2 linked regions of the Ovis aries genome follow. The protein of the gene in region 2 purifies or fractionates together with the protein of the main gene of each other region. This does not show direct contact. Links are inferred from orthologs where the notes say so. Each region holds a gene or a part of one and is shown on either strand. Other genes may lie near its edges.

The links. Proteins that work in one complex are often made in the same cells at the same time.
Region 1: the proteins of PRPF40A (region 2) and RBM25 purify together in Homo sapiens (affinity purification with mass spectrometry; 5 studies listed by BioGRID and IntAct, with this or other methods). This does not show direct contact. The link is inferred for Ovis aries from reciprocal best matches to the Homo sapiens genes PRPF40A and RBM25.

Annotation. Positions count from the first base shown.
Region 1 is NC_056060.1:82,674,253-82,677,771, reverse strand, and holds part of RBM25 (RNA-binding protein 25), read right to left. Parts: intron 1,728-3,519; coding exon 1,505-1,727; intron 1,394-1,504; coding exon 1,304-1,393; intron 1-1,303. UniProt on the Homo sapiens protein: RNA-binding protein that acts as a regulator of alternative pre-mRNA splicing. Involved in apoptotic cell death through the regulation of the apoptotic factor BCL2L1 isoform expression.
Region 2 is NC_056055.1:156,955,828-156,959,346, forward strand, and holds part of PRPF40A (pre-mRNA-processing factor 40 homolog A), read left to right. Parts: intron 1-233; coding exon 234-371; intron 372-619; coding exon 620-715; intron 716-2,681; coding exon 2,682-2,768; intron 2,769-2,854; coding exon 2,855-2,951; intron 2,952-3,034; coding exon 3,035-3,096; intron 3,097-3,519.

The DNA of each region.
Region 1 (3,519 bases), on a different chromosome or scaffold from region 2:
AATACAAACTTTCACTTTTTATACTACATACTTCTGTTCCTTGAACGTTTTTCAAATTCCTTGAACATTTTTCAACTGACAAGTAACTATTTTCTAACTGGAGGTTTTTTAAGCTTCCCCCCAAAAAATTACTAATAGGAAACCTTTCTCTAGAAAGACAGGTTTCAGATTTGCTTATAGGAAATGGAATCACTTGTTAAAAGTATTTTGTCTTTTACTATATTATTCTCTATTTCTAACCTAAGGGTTAAGAACAAATTATAGAATGGGAGCTACAATCCAGGGAAATCAAAATCACTTTAAATAATTCTAGGACTTTAAAAGATCTGCCATCCAGAAAACCCATACTATCTAATTGCTGTATGCACCCCTTTGGTTACTTACAAAAATTCCATCTATGTCTCATGTTCAAAAGCTATTTGAAGAAGGTTCCTAACTTTAATGATGTTTTTGGGAGAATAGACTCCAAACTGGAGATAAAGAAACTTTCATGAATCTCTGGCAAAGACAGAACATATGGAACATACTATAGAAGCAAATACTATGATAAAATATATTATCTTTTCATCATTTTACTTCATTAACCTATGCCAATTGCTTCACTATTAGCTTATCAAAGTGTAAATGCAAAAAATAATTGCATTATTCATTATTATTATAATTCATTATTATAGTGTAGTTAAAAGGAAGGATATTATAGTAACATAAGGAAAAACAGTAACTCATAAGTGCTATATACTGAAGTCAGTAATTTTGATTTCTAAAAACAGATCTTCTCGTAAGACTGTTTCCTTCACCCAAATATACTACACCGATAGAGTATCAAAGCCTCTAAAACCCTCTTCAAATTAAAAAATGCTGCAGATGTTTAATCAAAGAAAGTTCTATAAATCCTCATTTTATACATTATTATATACAGGTTTACTTTGACAATATGCCAAATGATAATTTAGTTTATAGGAGGCCAAAATGTGAAAAACAGGAAGAAAAGGAGGCGAGAGGGAGACTCAAGAGGAAGGGGAAATATGTACACCAATGGTTAATTCATGTTGATGTATGACAGAAGTCAAACCAATATTGTAAAGCAATCAATCAATTAAAAATAAATATTTTAAAAAAGAATAGGAGGAAGAAACATCTTGCTGTACTGAAACTGTCTCAACTTCACTTGAAATATTATTTATATTGGAGCTCAGGTTTTTTGATGAGAGATGATACTTTTTAATTATAAAGTCACTTCTACTTAAATGATTTGATCTGATTTTTATCTGAAAAACCACTTATTTTTAAACAAGAAAATTACCATTTCTCTTCTTCTTTCTTCTTCTCTTTCAGCCTCTTTTTCATATTCTCGGGTTTTCTTTCGTTCTCTGATTTCCCAATTCTTAAGGCGCTAACAAGACAAATTGTCAAAAGTTTTTAAAATGTATACAAAAGGTTCTGAAATTTTTGACTAACCTACTAAGTACCAACTTTTATCAATAAAAGCATTCCCTCAATTTACCTCTTGATAGGCAGCCTCTTTCTCGCGGAGCTTTCTTTCAAGTTTTCTTCGTTCATATGCATCTTCTTCATCTTCTTCTCGATCTCGCTTTTTGTCCTTCTCTCGCTCACGCTCCCGTTCCCTTTCTCGCTCTCTCTCTCGTTCACGTTCCCGTTCTCGTTCCCGTTCTCTCTCTCTTTCTCTTTCCCTCTCCCGTTCCCTTTCACGATCTCTGCTCTTTTCTCTACATAAAAGATTGTAAGAATCTGTCAGTATCCTCTGTTTTCTTTTAGAAACCAAGAGAAAGGAGGACAATATGAAATAAGATACAAACTCACAAGCCAAAATTTAGCATTTGGTTTCTGCAGAATTGTAAACTCCTCATACAAGCCAGAAAGACACAGAATATAATTCTAGCCCCAAATTCTGCACTGCATTCTAAACTCGATTTTAACGCTTATCAGCATCTCAGAAAACAAACAAAAAAATCCGGAATAAGAAAAATACTAAGGGCCGATGAACATGATACAAGATAGTCAATTCCAGCAGTGATCAAGCCAGTACAGACAATGGCAACGGTGTGAAGCAAACAGCACTCTGGCATGCTGCATGCATAAACCAGAACTACAGCTAACTCTTGAATAACACTGGTTTGAGTTGTACAGGTCCACTTATATATGGGGCCTTCCCAGGTGGCTTAGTGTCTGAGAATCCACCTACCAATGCCAGAGTCAAAGAAGACTCGGGTTCTATCCTTGGGTCAGCAAGTATTTCTGCTGGGATATTCCCGAGGACAAAGCAGCCTGGTGGGCTACAGTCCATGGAGTCACCAAAAATCACACACGACTGAGCAGCTGAGCATGCACATACATATTTACAAGTGGTGTTTTCTCAGCCATAGGTACTACAGCACTACACAATCTGAGGTGGGTCAAGTCCATGGACAAAGAACCATAGACACAAAAACTGTATACAGATGGCCATCTATAAGTTATACTCAGATTTCTGACTGCACAGAGTTGATACTCCTAACCCCAGCATTGTTCAAGGGTTAACTATACATCTTTCAGCAGTAAGAAGTTCTCATGCATTTAATTCAGAGGGATAAAACCAAACGGCAGATTTGTGATGCCATGGATTCTAATCAAATACAAATACATGTATATATGAAACAATATACCTTAGTAAAAGTATAAACCATTTTATACATGTATAAAACCATGATTTTATACATGTATACTTTATAAAAGTATAAACCATTTTATACATGTATAAAACCATGATTTTATACATGTCAAATCTTAACAGTGTTTATTCAAGAGAATGATGGTTATTCCAGGGGAGGAAGGAATTTAATGCCCACTACAGATTTAAAAGCACTGAATTTCAGTAACTGGTGGACCTCGTTTCAGCTACAATTAAGTGGAATATCTCAACAAAGTAATGTATATATGAAAACTAGCTTGGGAAAAAAGTGAACTTTCCTCTCTTCCTTTTTTCTGCTGCTTCCTTCTGTTCACTCCCTTCTCTTTGTTCATTTTTGCTCTCCCTCATTCCTGAAGAATTGGAGATGATAGCCCATAGGAAATCTATATAATGATGAGAAAATTTTAAATAAAACAAAAGTGAAATCACTAGGAACCATCAAGAAAAGACTAACTTGTCTGGGAGGTAAGGTGTGACCAACCAGTGGTTTATGGGACCAAATAAACACCAGGAACTAAAAGCAGCGCAACTAGAGCTGATTTTCCGCAGGAGACCTCAGTTAGTGTCTAAAAACAGCGCCCATTGACCAAGGGAATCACGCCTATCCAAACACTGGGAGAACGACTGGTGTATGCTAGATCTGAGTAAAAACAGGCTTCACACAGAAACTAACCCAAAGCTGAAAACTGTTAGTTTAACCAATATTTCACACGTGTGTGAGGCAGCAAGCCAGGCATGCTCTGTGGCCCATGAAATTCTCTCATCACATCAATGTAAATGGCCCCAATGTACTAGCCTGTGATTCTATTAAAGCTATCAGGCACACAGTA
Region 2 (3,519 bases):
GGCTAAAGATACTTAAGTTGTATGTAAACTCCTGAAATAAGGGAATAGGAATAGTATTTTACAGAGTAGTGGACACGGTTTCAAATAAGGTAACAGATAATATACTTAGATAATGAGTGATAGTAAATTCCTTTGCTAAAATTAATTGACCCTTACCTTATAGATGATGGGAGAATAATGAATTTAACACAAGTTAAATTGTACTACATATATATAAATATGTTTTCTAAAAGTTACTAGAAAAGGCAGAAGCCCGTGAACGTGAAAGAGAAAAAGAGGAGGCTCGGAAGATGAAACGAAAAGAATCTGCATTTAAGAGTATGTTGAAACAAGCTACTCCTCCAATAGAATTGGATGCTGTCTGGGAAGATGTATGTATACTTAAAAATTTTTTCCTTTTACAGTTGAAAATAAAAATCTTTTTCTTTCTCATAGCTACAGAGATAAACTGAAGTTATTTGAAGATTGTGAACTCAGCTGTGATGGCATTTAGGAATACTGGAGAAACGGAAATAAAGACAAGGGGGCTGGGCTGTCAATTTTCACTTGCTGTTTTTTTAGTCATATTGGTATATTTTTCTCAGTTTTCATATTTTTATTGCATATCTGAATTTTTCAGATCCGGGAGAGATTTGTAAAAGAGCCAGCATTTGAGGATATAACTCTAGAATCTGAAAGAAAACGAATATTTAAAGATTTTATGCATGTGCTTGAGGTAATTTTAGTTTTATTGTAATTGGCTGATACATTAAAAAATATGTAAAACATTTTTTTAAATCAAATTTAGAATGATCAAAGTGTTTTTCCTAAATTACACTACTTTTATATACATGTACTTAACTATCTGGGATGATTAGGGAATGGTTTATTCTATAGAAATTGCTTTTAAGTGAAACACACTAGGCTTGCATGAGAAGGTAAAGATCTGTTCTGTGAAGATAGTTCATATATGTTTCATATTTATACAGTGTTACAGAAGTTCATCAATTTAGGAGTCACATGGAATGATTAATAAACCTGTAAAGAACTTAGAATCTGTAAAGCAGATAGGAAACGGTTTTAAGCATATTTCAAATAGAGGTGTTGGAAGCACAGGGATGTTCTGAAAAACAGTAAGTTTTTGCTAAAACAAGTAATGATAAAATTGCAAATTATTCCACTAGCTGAATTAAGGGTATTTTGATGAAGATTTCAGATAGTCACTTATAGATAGTAAACATGCTAAATTGACCAATAATAATTATTATTTGGTGCCCATGTTATGTTTTATAAATATTACATATACGAATGTAATCCTCACAGAAACCCTGTGAAGTTACAGATGAGCAAACTGAGCCCAAGAGGAAAAGTAATTTGCTGTGAAGGGATTCCAATGTAGGCTTTGACTCTAGGGCCAGTGCTTTTACCAAGTATGCTTTGCCATCAGTTATGGATAAACTTATACTTCACAGCAGAGTGAAGTTAGCATATACTTAAATTTGTAATGTTCATGGTCTTTGGGAATAGTAGGTAACTTAATTGTTGATGATTCTTTGGATTTATTGTCCTTGATAAGTATCAGTGTTGACAACAATTTGCTCTGTTAACATGCCCCACATGTACCATATGTTGTCTCTCAGCTGCCTTTAGATCTAGTGCTATTGGCCTGTAGATCTTTTCTACTCAGATCAGCAGCATTTGCGTTGTCTGTAAACTTGTTAAAAATACAGAACGTCAGGCCCCATTGGCAGAAATGTATCAGAATTATTATTGTTGCAAGATTCTTAAGCACAGGAATGTACATTTAATTTTGAGAACCTTTGCTGTAGTGTAGTGTGTTAATATTTTCCCCTAATTCAGGAATGTCCACAACAAGATTCTTTCATGATCTATGCTGGTAAAGTGATGAGGTCATAAATGGAGCTGATGACCACATAGGGAAGAGCTGAACATACCAGAAAAGGATTTGGACCTCAAAAACGGGCGTTGAGGTAGAAAAGGAAGAAGAGTTAACAGTTAGTGACATAAAAAGTGAGAGTCCCTGGTTTGGGAGTAGGGGACTTCTACTGCAGCATTTCCTCTCTCCTTCTAGCCTGATCATTGTTCTAGTAAAATAGTTAAAATCCATAGAACATTTCCTCTTTTGATTTCATGTGTAGTTAGATTGCCTTTGGATATCTTAAGTTTGACTAGGAAGGGAATGCTCCTTGAAAAGAAAGTAGATTTTGTATTCAATTTCTGAGACTAACCTCCTTGACAGATGGCTCTGGGATAATCCTTTATTTCAGTGGTGAACTTAGCTCACTGACAAAAGGCACGTTCATCAAATAAATACTATATAATTATATTTCATTGTTTTTGAAAGTAGTATGACTGTTCTGAAGACATATACCTTTATAGAGGGTATCGGTTGTCCCCACTGTACCCAAACCATTCTCATTGCTGTAAAATGTATTTTATTAATACTTTTAAACCTGTGTTTAGATGTGAAATGAGTACGTATAGGATAGTTAAAATGTTCTCTTCGCTTTTAAGTGATAGTAACTCTTTGCACAGTTTCAAGTTGGGGAGTACATCCTAAAAAGGCAAAATGAATGTCGTTTTTACTCTAAAAAGAACTTACTTGCAAAACTATTAAAAATTCTCTGTGATCTGTTATCTAAAGTGTGAGCTTTTGTAATTTTTTTCTTTTGCCCCTGTAGCATGAATGTCAACATCATCATTCAAAAAACAAGAAGCATTCTAAGAAATCTAAAAAACATCACAGAAAGCGCTCCCGCTCTCGATCAGTAAGGAAGTTTATTTCAAATGGTACCATAAGTATATTGAAGTATTTATTACCATCATTATGAATAAAATTATTTATGTTGTGTAGGGGTCAGATTCAGATGATGATGACAGCCATTCAAAGAAAAAAAGACAGCGATCAGAGTCTCGTTCTGCTTCAGAACATTCTTCTAGTGCTGAATCTGGTAAACATATCTTTTAACTTGATTAAAGTCATTGGCATTTGGATGTCCTCAAATTCTGACACTTTTCTTTTCATGCTGCTTAGAGAGAAGTTATAAGAAGTCAAAAAAACATAAGAAGAAAAGCAAGAAGAGAAGACATAAATCAGTAAGCAGACTCTTGATTTTTATACTGCACCTAAGCTTTTGCCCTTAGCTTTCTCAGTGGCAGTAGACATTTCTGCTTGGTCCTATACAGAGTTTAGGTGAGCACCTGAGCTCAAGAGTTTCATAGTTGTGGTTCACCTTAATCTTGCAATAAAATCCTTTGGTGAACTTGAAACAAATAGTAATCTTAGAGAAAGACCCGTGTGTGTGTGTGTGTGTGTGTGTGTGTGTGTGTGTGTGTGTTATAGCTATTGTTGAGAACCACAAGTTTAAGCAACTTTCTCTTCTATGCTCGGTTCTTGGTCTTAGGTACACATCAAGATACACCTAATCTTAGGGATGAAGGTACACCTAATTTAGTGACCCATTTTTAGTGATAATTTACCCTATCAGACTGTCATGTTTCCCATAGGAAAGACCAGCT